2 linked regions of the Struthio camelus genome follow. The protein of the gene in region 1 interacts with the protein of each later gene in a biochemical or structural test. Links are inferred from orthologs where the notes say so. Each region holds a gene or a part of one and is shown on either strand. Other genes may lie near its edges.

Region 1 (7,492 bases):
ACGGGGCCTAACATGCAGGTGTTTCCATGGGTGGATCTTGTGAGGCAGCAGGTTGGGAGGGTGGTCGAGGTCTTGGGGTTAACCGTAGCGCTGCTCTTCTTGAGAGCGCGGAAAGGCGGTGTGAAGTGCAAAATGAGGAATAAAAGACCAGATTAATTGTGTGTTAGGTCTTCGGGTACTGCAGGCGCCTTTTCTCCTTTGTATATGCTCAGGCTGTTTCTCTCATCCTTTCAGAAGTATGTTCTCCTCTCCTGACCTTCCCTGTGAAAAGGCCGCGACAGGGTCAACCAGCTACGTGATCTCTCACCGTTTAATCTCGACCCACCCGAAGCGCCCGTCATACGCTGGGCTGTGCTTAAACTGGGAAGAAGACGTGTTCACCTCGGCGCCTCGGGAAAACGCACCACAAAATCCAGGAGTTAGGTTGGACGTGAAACTCAAACCAGCAGCCTAAGTTCTATTTTACAGCTTCTAGTAATTTCCTTCCCCTTTTTTATTTTTTCATTCATTCTGACTCCTCTGAGCTAAAACTTGTTCCTGTTCTGGGCTGTACTTTAGCGCAGGATGAGAGGGACTGATAGAAAATCCAAGTTGTAACAGAATCTAAAAGCTTCATCTAGACTTTGTATGAATGCAGACCTGGGAGGCAGGGGTGCTGCAGGCGAGAGTTACTTTGTAGGTTGCCTTCACAACAGGGAACTCGAAAAGCCTATTTTTCTTCTTCAAATCAAACAGTGATTATATGGTTTTGAGACAGGTGGAACTGAATTTTGCAACTGAATTACTTAACGGTGCCATAGCTGACCAGGGATTTTATGATATTTACAGTTCTGGGAGATGGGCCGTTTGTATTCCTTGAGGCCTGTATGGGGTTGGGTTTATATGCAGATCTATAAAAGCCAATTTGGGAGGAAAAAGAAGCGAATGACCTTTAATGCTGCAAAGAAGGCAAACGGATACTGCTATAGAAGGTTAGCTGAAATGTGGCCAGCCGAGTAAAGCACAGTAGAAATGTGGCTGTAGGTATTATTTTTTAATGTATACTGAGAACAAAGGAACCTTGAAAATAATGTTGCTCCATCGCATGATACAGCAAAGTTGACGATAAAGAGGCAGAAAAGGTTTGTATCAAATATTCCTGTACTGCACTTGGGAAAAAGACAAATATTGCAGACAGAACACATGATGAAATACTTTTCCACCGTTCTCAAGCAAATATTTGTCGACTAGCTGATACCAATGTTTTTGCTGTAAAGCAGATAGAGAGCTAACTGAGTCTTTCTCTTCTCAATTAACACTGATATGAATAGGTTTGAAACACGAAACACCTTCCGAATAAGAGCACTAATGCTACCTAATGTTTAGAAAGAACTAAATGAGGTGGTTTAGTAATAGATTGTCAATCCCAGGGAAGTAATTGAATGTTTGTATATACAGGTTTACTTATTGCTTTAATCAACCCTAAGCATGAATTTATGGAATAAATATCTCATCAAATCAACCTTTTTGTTTCTGAGAGGCAAAGCTCGGTAGATAAAGATTTAAAGTAATGAGTAGTACTTTGCAGACTTTTGCCAGCGTAATCATCTTGCCTGGGATACAACTACACATGGCCAAACTCCTGCTGTGATTACATCTAGGTCGATAGGAGAGTGGCTTCATTGGCTTTGGTTCATGTCTGAGCGTGAGAAAGTGGTACTTATGCCAGCAGAAACACCGCTTCTGTATTCATGTGCCTCGGCTCCACGAGGGGACTCTCCTGGCCTGGCTGTGCTGGCAGAGACCAGGGAGGCTGTCCGAGGGACTGGTGGGACTGCTGTATGGGACTGATTCAATACTACCTGATGCCCTGGCTAAAGAAACTAGGAATGGTTCAAAAACAAGGCTGTCTGCATTAAGTAGTATAAAACTGTCTACCCAGCAGATCTAAACTTGTAATATTTTAAACAGAAAATCATTATCCACTGGGGGTATGTCTAAAGGGGTTCGAAAGGAGTTGTGGTCGCTGGCACTCAAGTAGTCATGTCAACCTGAAAGGCCTTCCCACAAAGTAAGTCCTGACAAAGTCTGTCAGCTGGAGGTAAGTGATGAAGAGAGGCTGTCTTGGATCTGAATCTCATACTGACCTCATACATAAGCAAATGAGATTTATTTTAACGGAATCAGACATAAGCTTGTATACCTGGAAAAAAAGAATGTGCACTAAAATGTAGCTCCTTCTCAGGAAGCAGTAACTGTATATAATCTCTAAAAGTCACGGGAATAAAACAGATGGGTCTGAAAAAGTTATGTGAATATCAGCTCATTTGGCAAAAGGATCGTTTTCTGGATTTGACTACAAGGCAATATTGAGTACACATACGGATTCTAGTTTGACGTTAATGTGATTGCTTGCTAAATATTGTGTCCATGTTTTGTACCAGTAATTCAGGAAACATTGAAAAAATTGCAAGAAGAGCTTCAAGAATTAAACAATTGAAAAAGGTGCTTTATATCTGAGACTCAAGCAATGACCTCTACTTAGTTTTCTTTTTGATTAGCAGGAAGACTGGATCAGCTTGTAAGTAGGCACCTATGAAACAGGTACTTCATAAGGAAAAGCTTTTTGTCCTATCAGACAAAAATTGAGCCCGGTTTACCTGCACCGTCTTTACAAGAGACAGTTCCAGCATAGCTGTGGTTGGTGGGGAATGTGGGATAGTCTCTGGAAAGAATAAAGAAGGAGCTATTGTTTGCTTTCAAAATTTTAGTGACAGTGCATTTTATTCATGTTAGACAAGGCAGCAATGTCATTCTTCACAAGAAAATAAGCCAATATTGCTTTGGTGTCACGCCGTTGAAACTGAAATTTAAACCTAAGATAACACTGAGCCTGCCTTCTCGAACTTGAACAAAACAGCTCACTCAAAGGCATTCGTTGACAAGTTATATGCCTGGTGTATTTGGAAAATGAAGCACCAGCAATAACATGTGGATATCTTTCCCATTTAATTTCTCTTTTTTGTTGCTGTTTTTTGTTGTTGTTGTCTTTCTGTTTAGCACAGATTTCTTCTCCGTTCTCATAAGTCAGTTCAATCAACCTGGTAAATCAACATGATTTGGAAAGTACATAAAATCTTTGAGAAGCAAAGACACTTGATTGATCTACATAAATAACAAGCATGACTTCATCCTTTCAAATATTCATTAATAAACTTTTCCAGAAATACATTTTTAGAAATGTCTGCAAAAATGAGTAATGAAGGAAGAAGGAGGAACAACAGGAAAGAGAGCTCTTTTCTGGAAGGAAAAAAAAAAACTATCTGGTGCTGTAACGATTGGCAGAGTATACCTAAAACTCTGCATCATTACACATTAAACGTAGCCTTAAATTTGGGCTGACTCTTGCTTTTGAATAAAAGGTGGCTTTAACAGCTGAATAACTTCATTATGCACATCCAGGCCTGGGACTGATGTCACGGTCAGATATTTTTGTGTGCTCCTCCTAAGTCTAAAGGGGTGTAAACACTGCCGTAAGGAAGCAGAGGCTCATATCAGAAACCTCCGTGCTTGAAATAAGAATCAGGATTGTAACTGTGAACTATACACCAGATTCATGTTCTTACATTCTGGATTGTGCAGAGTGGAATTTTCTAGCTTGGCCTCATTTGGGGTGGGATAATAGCCAATAGCATGGCCGGACTCGCAGATCACGAGCCTTTCAAGTAAATTTGGAGTTTCTGTGCAACTAAATTAACAATTGTAAACGCTTTCATACATATTATCCAGACAGTAATATTGATACAGCAGGAAGACACAGCGGAGATACCAGAATTTTTCAGTCCGTTCTGATAACTCATAATAGGATAGTAGAATACAGAAATGAGACAGTTATTTTTGTTGACTCATTTTAATATCAGGTCAGATCAGTCATACGTTTCAACGCTTTGATGTATACTTAATTTTTTGCTTATGGTTCCCCTCCCTGCAGTGCATCATCCAGGAGGCATCAGAACAAAACTGTGAACAAAAGCATTGTTATATGTTAGCCCTTAACATATGCCAGTCTGAAGTTTGTGTTTGACTGATTAACGTAGAGCTGTTCTGAGAGCGTCTTGGAGCTTCGAGTACTCGCAAAGACACTATTCTACGACTGTTAATCATCCAGTAGAAAGTGATATGTGTTATGCCGTAAAATACAGTAGGAAGGAATACGTATTACGTCGTAAAACGCAACAGAGAACATCCGTAACATCGTCTGACCGTGTGATTTGACTGAGTAGGATGCCACCGTTATTGCTGTTTTTCCACCGCGGTATCGGCGGAAGAGCTCTGGTAAAAGCGCCGCGCTCGGGTGCCCTAGGCAGGCAGGATCATTTCCCCAGGACTCCGCCATCTCCTTACGAGAGATACCAACGAAACGACCAAGGCTCAGGGAGAAACCCGCATTAACAGGCACGCGAGGATCGTTTTAAAACAGCGTTAAAAACAGCGTTATCCTAAGGGCAAGGTACCGTTTTGACCCCGAGGCCGATTTTTCGCTGAGAGCTCATGCTTATAATTTTAAATGCGTATGTGTTAATAGTTTAAAAAAAAGGGGGGGGGTGACGGCAGCTGTCAGAGCTTAACGATGAGGGAAGCCCCCGACGCGACGGCGGCCGTGACGCAACGCACCGCCTCCCGCACTGCCGAAAGCGACGTCACGGCGGTGACGTCACGGCGGCGCCGCTGCGGAAGGGCCGTCGGCCAGCCGGCCCCGCCCCGCCCTCGGCCACTTCCGCCTCCGCCGCCCCGGTAACGCGAGCGGGGCTGCCCGCCGCCCGCCTGCAGGACCCCGCCCGGGGCTGCCCGCCGCGCTGCCTGACGCCGGCCGCTGGGAACGGCCGCTGGCCTAGCGGGCCGGGGCGGGGGCGGCGGCGGCGCGGGTAGGCGGCGCGGCGCTTCCTTGTGGGCGGGTGGGCGGCGCGGCGGGGCGAGGCGAGAAGAGCGCGGGGTCCTCGTGCGCCAGGGGAGGGGGCGGCGGCGGCGGAGGAGGAGGAGGAGCGGCGGGCGCTCACCGGCAGGCCGCGCCGATGTTTGCCCCGGGCGGAGGTAGCGCAGGGCGCCCAGCGGCCCTGGGCGAGAGGGTCCGCGGCGCGGGGAGGGGGGCGGGGGCCGTGAGGCGGCGCGGGGTAGCGGCTTCCTCGGCGGGGGGGGCCGTGAGGCGGCCCGAGGCCGGTTTCCGCAGGCTGCCGCGGGAGCGGGCAGGGCAGGGCAGGGCCGCGGAGGTGGCTCGGTGGTGGAGGAGCTGGTGCGCGCCGGCGGCGCCCGGGGGGCGGCGCGGGCCGCTGAGAGCGGCTCGTCTTTGGGCCTCCGTTCCCCGGTGAGAGGGGTCCGGCCGCGGATCTGACAGCAAAATATCGGCTCCGAGCCGCCTGGAATCGAAAGTAAAACTGCCCAGCGGGGTGGGCAGGCCTGCTGCCCCGCCAGCGGGCAGGGGGGCTTCTTCGCTGCCACTTCCTCTCCTGTCCTGCCTCTCATCTTTCAGAAACTTACGGCTGGGTTTATTTTCTTCTCGTTGGCCGTGATCTTTTTCTTATCTTCCTTGTCTTTAGAAGAAACCGGAATTGCTTTTCAATTCTGGAAACTTTTAACACGCTGAAAAACCTCCAAGTGTAAACAGACAAATCTCGTCCCCTTTAGAAAGTGCATCACCCGACACTTGAAAGTGGGACCCCTTGCATGCGTTGTTTGTCTCTCTAACTTGTTTTCTAATAGAGTAGCTGCATAAAGGAATACTTACGTGGTTAAATTAACTTCCAATAGCAGTACAAAAATAATGGGAGAAACTTTAGTAAAGCAGGCACTCCTCGTATCTGATGTTTGTACAATGGTATTTCTCCTCCCATGCGTGTTTTGATAAGGATTGCAATTCCGATTCATGCAGTTGCAGTCTCTCTGTGATAAACTTCTTGTAGATGTGAGAGAATTAAGCAGTTCAAGGCAAGGTGGCAGTGTTTATGCTTTGTGGTTACATTAGTGATGCTGATCTTTAATACTTTGTACAAACCTTTGGAAGCCTTGAGAATAAGCCCTTACATTGATGTTTTCTGTTAAGTGTTGCCTAATGCCATCAATTTTTCGTAGAGTGAGATCGGTGTGAAAAGCGGAATAGAAATTCCAAAACAATAAATAGCTCTTAATTAACCTTGAGTTCAGGCAGGAAAAATAAACATAGTTTTCACTTAAAAAAAAAAAAAAAAAGCATCTATAGGTGATTGAACTAAGATGATAGAGGTTCAGAACTTCTAAATGTCACTACAGATATCAATGGCAAGTGGTCCAAGAGCCCATTGAACTCATGTCTTTTGTCTTCTCTGGTCTAATTTTGAGCTGTGAAGCACCAGTTCCTCCTATCTGTTGGCTTCTGACGTTCATTTCTCCTCCTTTCCTTTTCACCAGTATGCTCACATAAGCATTAGGTACTACATAGAAGTTCCTTTTTTTTTTTTCCAATAATTCCTTAACATTCCCTTAATTTGGACCCAACTGTGTATCTTCAGCCTATCTTCTTTCATAGGTTTCCTGTGAAAATGGGACTTAGGTGAGCCTGCTGCCTGTCCATTTCTTTTTTTCCTCTGTATCTTATAACTCTTGAACCTTTTGGCCAGTTTCAGCTGGATTAGACAGCTGAAAGTTTCAAAGGTATAACCTTTCTACAGATCTTGTGATAATCAATGGCTGAGAAGAACAAAAAAGACTTAAAATAACATGCACACTGAGGGAAAGGCTGCAGCATACGTTCAATGAACAATTCTGTTCTGTCTTTGCTGTTAGTTGGCACTTGCGCACTGACCCGTGAATCAGTGTGTGTATAGCTTGGAGACAGCCACCACGCTGGCTGCTTCCTGCAGTCAGTAGTTGGTAGATATAAAGAGAGTTGGAAGAACAGTGGGAAGGTTTGGGGAGACAAGAGCTATACACAGCGGGCGGCGCAGAGTGTTGCAACGCATATTTGTTCTGTGATATATGACAGAAATCCATTAGAAAATAGGTTTCTTTGGCATGAATGTTCGGGGGAGAGGGAAAGATGATATTGCTTTGGGATCGAAATCACACTGCACCAGATTATGCTCCATTCCTTTTCTTTATTGCATCTTCTCTCTCTCGCTTGTATAAAAGCAAGACTCAAACATCCCTTTAAAACAGAATTGTGAGTTTATGTAAGTGATACGAGGAGGAGTACTGCTTTTAGTAAGTGACCATGATGCTAAAAAATGCACATGTAGCTGTTTGTTTTTTTCCCCAAATTATAATTAAGTTGCTCCATGACCAACAGGTGAGGAACAAAGATAAAAGCCAGAGCAGTGGAATTGTAACATGTTTTTCCAGCACTTCTTTAATCAAACAGCCATTTTTCCAGCGTTTTCCTTTTGAACTTAGCTGCAAGTTTATCTTTTGGAATCTAACCCTTTTTTTAAAATGAATATGTTGCTCTGTTTTTGTGTTTAATTAGCTTCTTGGTGAACATAAA
Region 2 (7,608 bases), about 150 Mb from region 1:
CATGAATAAGAGATGGAAGATGAATGATGAATCCAAGTACTTATATTGAATTTTTGCTGTCATTCTTTCTCCCTCCAGCAGCGCATTTTTCTTCACTAACAGTTCTCTTAGTGCAGACTTTAAACAGGCAATGTTGAACTTACTTCAAATTTTGTTAATAATTGAATATTGCATCACTGGTTGTTACTGTGATCTTGTGATCTCTTCTGGGTGTGTGTGGTTTTTTTTTTTTTTTTTTTGATAGATATGGCGCTGCATGAACTGGAATATAAGCTGCCTCTTATTGTCCAATTACATCTGTCTTATGACTCACTCAGTTTTCAATAGTCAGATTCTGTATCCTAAGGACTATGCTGTTGCTAGAGACCCTTTCATGGACGAAGCAGTGAGGTGGGAAGGTCTGTGTTCCTTTGTTTATCCTAGCACCCCCATTAGCTGAGATGAGTCACTAGTGAGGACACAAATACTAATTTTCTTTACTTTACTTGCTGGCTGCTGCTGCTCTACTCAGCTAGACTGTTGGCTGTGCCTGGTTACATCTTGGTTCTTCAACTCTTTTCCTGGTGTCTTATGAATCCTCATCTGGGTCAGGGAGACCTCTTTGCATCAATATAGGCTGCATACATCATTTGAGTCCAGGATGGTGGCTGCTTCCCTCATGTCCCTGCGTTATGGAACATGACTATACGTTCTCTATACACTTGCATTTTAAAACTCAAGGCTACTGGATGAGGAAGATTTAGGGAAAGAGTTTGTGTTTTGGCCAAAATTCCACGAACTCTCAGAACTGATACTCGAATGAAATCTATCTGGTCCCATAAGATCCCCTTGTTTTCCTGTGCCAACATAGCACTAGCACTGCCTGGTTCTGTCTCAGTGGTACCGTGAATTGGTCTGTGACGCCCCAGAGGGAGTTTAACATGCTAGAGTAACAGTTCTGTGTTATGGATTGAAGTATTTGAGTCCAGCACAGAATTCGATACTAACTTCATATTTCTTTAGACATTAACAAGTAAGGAGAATGAAAATGGTTTACTTTCTGGTTCAAAAACACTTCATCCGAAATTGCAGGATTCTCTGAAAAAGAAGGGATATGTCCTACACTCCCCAGGAGGCAAAGTGAAAAGATATACCTGCACAGGGTGTGGGGGAAGAGACTCATTCAGGAAGTGTCTGTGTTTTCTGGCCGGTGTCCAGTCTGATTCCTTCAATGTAGCTAGATAAAAAGCTCATGAAGAGCTTTCTTTTGGTATCTGATAGTTTACGTGTAGTTCAGATGGCTTCTCATATGCAAGGTAAACTGGAAGTTTTTCTTGGGAAGATTAGCTAAAACTCTGAAAGTGTGCCTCAACAGCCATTGTATTAAGTCTCATCCTTTACAGGATCTTTCAGTAGTTTGTTGTTATCTTCTGGCTCACGTATACTGAATGCTTGTAACCAAGATCACGTTGTGGATAAAGAGATGGCAAAGGCTTGTTGCTGCATACAGAGCAGCCTGAAGACTATCACCAACCGTTTCTCAGAGAACTGAACTGTTTTTTTTCTCTAGAAGATTCTCTCTTTTTTAACACTAATTTGGGTAAATCTAGTTTTCTAGGTTATCGTGACAAGCTATTTCCATACCCAAGTTGCCTAAAAAGTCTTCTAGCAAATGAGGCCTTTTGTCTTATGTCAGGCATGGGTGCAGGACTCATGTTGTTTACTTGTTCCCATGGTGTTTTTATTACCATTGACAAAATAATTTAAAACACTGGTAAAATTTCATATTTTTTCTTGTACTCTCCAGTCATGATTTGATGATACATTGGCTCTGATGACAACACTGCTTTATAGTATTCCTGCCCTGCCCATAAGAATCTACTTTTCCCTGTGCCACTACCTCAGCTGTGGTAATTCAAGTGTTTGTGAGGTTATGTTATGAATCAAATCAGGGAACTTGATTTGATTTAAAAATCTTTTCTTCTCAGTTCTCAGGTTCAAAGATAGCAAACAACTGTTTTAGCATTTTCAGTGGGGAAGAGTGGTAGGAGTGGGAAGGAATAGGTGAAATACCTTAAATGGGTATTGCTGGAAAGACAACGTATTATTACACTGTGCTGTCGCAGATTTCTGCTGAAGTATTTTGGCTGGCTGTTGCTGGCTTGCATTTGTTGGCATTAAAAGTTACCTAGAAATAGATGTATGCAAAGTGTCCTAGATTGTCAATGATTTTTCCTGGACAACATCAGAGGAATTATTGGTATGACTTGTCCTGCCTCCCAGCCTGTTAGGCAACTACAGTTAGGTTAGAGCTTGCGAGATGACTGATGATGCATGTCTTTTGTGCACACATGAGGGCATCCCCTCATCTATCTTCTGTTCAGTATGTTGATCTGCTCTTGTTTTATCCAACTGTCATTTCCGTACCTGCAGCTCCAGCTATGCTCTAGTGTTCTGCACTTCCCAGCACCTGTCCTGCCCTTGCCTGGACTCTACGTACTAGATAGCGCTTATTGTCTTTCTGGGTTATTCTGTTATTCTGATTTTCAACCCGCCTCTAGTCAAACTGGGTATTTTCCTTGTCCTCATGAGGTCTTTGATTACTATTTCTGGCCTCACTTGCCCTCAGGTTCTTTTGACTCTTGCTTTTGGTCATTGCCTTAGTTAGCTTTGGCAAGTGGGTACAAGGTCCAGGTCGTGGTCAGGTTGAGGAGACTGTCAACATGTCCCCACAAGAGACATCCTCTCTCTGTTTCATAACCTAATCTCTCTCCTGCAAGGATCAGTTTTGTCCCAGTTTGAGGTGGGGGTGGGGGGAGACCTGGCTGTTGCCTGCAAGCTTGTCAGACTAGGTCTTGAAAACCCACAAGAGATTTCTGTGGATGGTCCTAATTGACTCCCATGCTCTTCCCAGCTACTATAGGCTAAAAGATTTGAAGAGGAATAACACATTAGAGTTTGCTTGGCCAATCCCACCTGCTTTTATCTTTAGAGCTGAAAATTGCCTCTTAGGATCAAAGGTGAGGCTAATGGGATGATTGGAATATCCCATCCTAGGGATAGTGTGGTCAGGTTTCTTATTCATGAAGCCTGACAGACCAGTGTTGACAAATCAGACTTCAGCAAACATCAGAAAATGTCCTCCAGGAAAAGCCGTCACCTGATTTCCAATTATGACGATGAACTATAGCCACTGGTAGTAGACACAGAAGGAGGTTAAGATGGAATTATGATTCTGTTTTCAGCAGCTTCAGTACTGAGTTATTCCACATCAAATCAGCTACTATTTGTTGTTGTCATGTTGTGGACATCTATTTGAGGACTGACAATGCAGCATCGGCATCGGAAGATCAGTGTTGACCCTGTGTATTCTGCATAAATTGTAGGCATTTTTGCTTATTCTGTCTGTTTTCTGTTGCTTTAGAGGAGTCTAGTGGTATGCCTATGACCTATGTATGACCCACAGCCATTCTTCAGTTTCTGTGTCTCTGTCACTAAGCCTAGGAGAAGTAGTCTAGGACATCCCAAATCATCCAGGAGTTTCCAGAAACTTTTTAGAACTAGAAATCATAAAATTGCACTATTGCAATCCAGGACTGAGTAATCCTTGATCTGATGGATGGGTCACTACTTCTAGACTAGCTACATGGAAGATCTATTTCACTTTGTGGTCTCAGTTCAGGGACACCTTGCAGGTGAAAGATTAGTCTGAAGATAAATTAATATATATTCTACTTGTTCTTATCCTTATTCTACTCATTATTGGTGACTTCCCCAGTGACTTTGCCATGGGCAGAGATAGGATGGTGGCATTGTCTGAATCAGTATAAACATTTTTATGTTCTTATTTGATGTCTTCTTATTATTTGATAGGATAAATCAAATGCCAAATATCCACCAATGCTTGAGAAAATGTATTGGGAATGATGCTGATGTGACTGTCTGTGGGAGCTAAAGCACTAGGTGAAATCCTGGGAGCTCGTCAGAAGGGCGCTGAAATGTCAACCAGAACGACTCCGGAGCCTGCCGCATGGCCTGAGAGGTGGGTGCTAATGACATGTTGCCTGACTGTAGCCAGCGCTTCCCTAAATTGACAGAAACTCTCCTTGGGCACAGGACTCGTGACCTGACCTAACGGCCTCGTTTCATCCCTAGGACCTGCCTGGATTTCCAGCCCTGTGTCCTGAGCCTCAGCAGGCCCCAGCCCCGAGGTGGATTGCACGTACGCCATCCCGCTGCGCAACGGAGAGGCGAGGCCGGGGCAGACAGAGGCCGGCAGCCAAGTCTCAGCAGCCAGGGCGGCGAGGTTCGCGCCCCGGCCAGGGAAGGGGACAAGTTTCTTTCTCATCTCCTTCCCACAGGCATAAGTGGGACTTGTGTGGGGGCTCCTGAAAGTACCCATGCCAAGGAGGAGGGGGATGACGATGAGGGTGAGGATGCGGACGAGGACGGGGATGGAGAGGATGAGGACGGAGATGGCGCTGCCCGTCCCCGCCCCCCCCCCCCCCCCCCCGCAGCGGTGACCGTTGAGGTGCTCGGGCGGGGTTCTGGGGCAGCCCGCTCCGCCCCCTCAGTGAAGTCTCGCGAGATTCCACCCGGCGAGCGGCCAGTTCTCGCGAGCTTTGCGCCTGGCTGCGGCGGCGGCGGTTGTTCCATGAGGTCCGAGCGGGAGGCTGGGCCGGGACCAGTTCGAGGTGGCGGCGGCGGCGGCGGCGGCGGCTGTGGCCGGGAGAAGTGGCCCATGGAGGTCCCGCTGAGACGAGAGTCGCCGCGCCGCGAGCCGGAGGCTCCGCCAACGCCTCCTCCCCCGCCGGGGCCGCCGCCGCTTCCCCCGCCACCGCCGCCGCCTCTTCACCCGGCGCCGGGTAAACAGCGAGAGGAGAAAAAAACGGCGCTGAGCAAAGTGAGGGGCCGCGCGGGGGCCGCGGGGCGAGCCCGGGGGCTGTGCTGTGCCTGGGGGTGAGCCTAGGGCTGAGCCGGGGGGCTGGGGGCGTGCCTGAGGGTGAGTCTCGGGGCTGAGAGTGTGCCTGGGGGCCTGGGGATATGCCCGGGGGGTGTGCTATGGGGCTGGGGGCGTGCCTTGGGGGCAAACCTGGGGGCTGGGGATGTGACGGGGCGGGTGTGCTATGGGGCTGAGAGCGAGCCTGGGGGCTGGGGATGTGCCGGGAGGGTGTGCTGTGGGGCTGAGCGTGTGCCTGGGGGCCTGGGGATACGCCCGGGGGGTGTGCTATGGGCCTGAGGGTGTGCCTTGGGGGCAAGGCTGGGGATGTGCCGGAGGGGGGTGTGCTATGGGGCTGGGAGCCAGCCTGGGGGCTGGGGATGTGCCGGAGGGGGGTGTGCTATGGGGCTGGGAGCGAGCCTGGGGGCTGGGGATGTGACGGAGGGGGGTGTGCTATGGGGCTGGGAGCGAGCCTGGGGGCTGGGGTTGTGACGGGGGGGGGGTGTGCTATGGGGCTGGGAGCGAGCCTGGGGGCTGGGGATGTGCCGGGGGGGTGTGCTATGGGGCTTGGGGTGAGCCTGGGGGCTGGGGATGTGCCGGGGGGGTGTGCTATGGGGCTTGGGGTGTGCCTGGGGATGTGGCTGGGGGGTTGTGCTGTGGGGCTTGGGGTGAGCCTTGAGGCTAGGAATGTAGCTGGGGAGTTGTGCTCTGGGGCTGGGGGATGTGCTGTGAGGCTGGGGATGTGCCTGGGGGGTTGTGCTGTGGGGCTGGGAGAGAAGTCTGGGGGCTGGGGATATGCCTGGGGGATGTGCTGTGGGGCTGGGGATATGCCTGGGGGATGTGCTGTGGGGCTGGGGATGTGTCGGGGGGTGAATCTGGGGCTGAGGGTATGCCTGGGAGGCCAACCTGGGGCCTGGAGACAAGCTGGGGGGGCATGCCTGGGGGTGTGGCTGGGGGCAAGGCTGGGGCTTGGGAGTGTGCCTAGGAGCTGGGGGGAGGTGAGCCTGGGGGATAGGTGTGCAGGGAGTGGCGTGCCTTGGGATTGATCACTGAGCAGGGGGCATCAGGAGAGGCACAGAAGAGGTACATAGAGGGGCTGAGGAGTAAGTGCGGGAGTAAGGGTTGTTTGGGAAGGGGTCTGGGGACGGGAATAGAGGGGCAAAGGGGGATGGGCATGATTGAGCCAACTGGAACAACCCCTGGGGCAGGTGAGCAGACAGAAGTATTTGCAGGTAAGGTGAGATGGAGAAGTGCAGAGGAAGGCAAGGGCAGGGAACATGGGAAGACTTACTAAGAAGCGTTGGGCGATGTCCAAGGATCAGAGGAAATTTGTAATGAAGAGCATGGCCCAGAAAGGCCCATAGCTTCTATTCTAAACACTGAGGCTAATTCCAAGGAAATACAGCATTTAAACATCGTCTTTGTTTCATCATCAGCAAAATGAGTGTTCACTTTCTTAAGTATTTTGAGGACCTCAGCAAGAGTGCTGCAAATTTGCCTGTCTTTTCATCTTTCGTTCTTTAAAAATTTAGATTGACTAATATAGTGGCAGAGCAGGTCTTAAAAGAACAAGAGCACTTCTCTCTCCATGGTTTTATTTGAGCATCTTTCAGAGAATACTTATATAGAGTACTGTGAGATTTGTTTTATTCCCTTTTTCTAAATGGGGAAAGGAAAGCACTGAAGGTCACCATGACTTAAAGTTAAGTCAAGTTCAGATATTACTGAGAAATAGAAGTACGTTATCTGAATCTTGATGACCATTTCACTCTTTTCTATACTGTCATGAGAGTTTTCATGCAGTCTCAGACACTTTATTCTGGAGTGAAGACTTTGGACGATGTACATAAAATGCTTTTGTAATAAAAGACTTAAAAGTCAGTTTAAACAAAATCATTTTGTAAAGAGAGAATGCAAGTATTTTGTGTGGTCAATATTTATTTTTTTTCCCATTTGTTAATATTTTGTGTTCTCAGCCAAATTACAGTGACTTTTAAGCTCTTCATCAGAATGTTTCACTTATGCTGCAATTTTACGGTGTTAGTCTGTTGTTCTATACGTTTTATGTAGCAGAAAGTGAGATAGGTCAATTATTCCTTCTGCCAGCAAGTATAAGAAAGTAAGTCACTAGGAGGCTAGTGTTCCAATTTAAACTCCCAATTTTAAAGAATAATAGTACGTGATATTTAGTCTCTTCCCACAGTATTTAGATCAAAGATATTTGTCCATTTTGTTTTATATGCGCAGGTAGTTATTCGCCGGCTTCCTCCTTGTCTAACTAAGGAGCAACTAGAGGAACAGCTACATCCTCTACCTGCCCATGATTATTTTGAGTTTTGCACTGCTGATCCCAGGTGAGGATATGCTGTTGGTCAGTACTAAGTAGAAAAGAAAATGTTTGTACGAGTTTTCAGGTACTTAAAACCCAATTAAAGTATTTTGGATATAGTCATGTACCAAGTTGCATATTTTGTCCCTGGAGCCCTTACTTTTTGTTGGTGTTAGTAGTTATTCAAAATGTTTTTGAGAACAGAGATGCATATGTAGAGACAAGGGCATTCCTGCCCTTTCCTTTTACACTGCTGATTTTAAAACAGAAAATTGTTGTTCTGTGAATAGGGCGTAATTTTGTTCAAAATTCTCATGTTTCTTTTAGCCTTTATTGAAATGGAACACATTTCTTCTGAGCC

What was found. The genes of interacting proteins can lie anywhere in the genome.
Region 2: the proteins of UPF2 (region 1) and UPF3A form a complex in vitro, tested with the Homo sapiens proteins (2 studies listed by IntAct, with this or other methods). The link is inferred for Struthio camelus from reciprocal best matches to the Homo sapiens genes UPF2 and UPF3A.

What each region holds. Positions count from the first base shown.
Region 1 is NC_090942.1:7,366,132-7,373,623, reverse strand, and holds the start of UPF2 (regulator of nonsense transcripts 2), read left to right. Parts: upstream 1-4,389; 5' UTR 4,390-4,489; intron 4,490-4,775; exon of another isoform or gene 4,776-4,904; intron 4,905-4,921; exon of another isoform or gene 4,922-5,070; intron 5,071-7,492. UniProt on the Homo sapiens protein: Involved in nonsense-mediated decay (NMD) of mRNAs containing premature stop codons by associating with the nuclear exon junction complex (EJC).
Region 2 is NC_090942.1:156,043,446-156,051,053, reverse strand, and holds the start of UPF3A (regulator of nonsense transcripts 3A), read left to right. Parts: upstream 1-4,604; 5' UTR 4,605-4,633; coding exon 4,634-4,882; intron 4,883-7,165; coding exon 7,166-7,272; intron 7,273-7,608. UniProt on the Homo sapiens protein: Involved in nonsense-mediated decay (NMD) of mRNAs containing premature stop codons by associating with the nuclear exon junction complex (EJC) and serving as link between the EJC core and NMD machinery.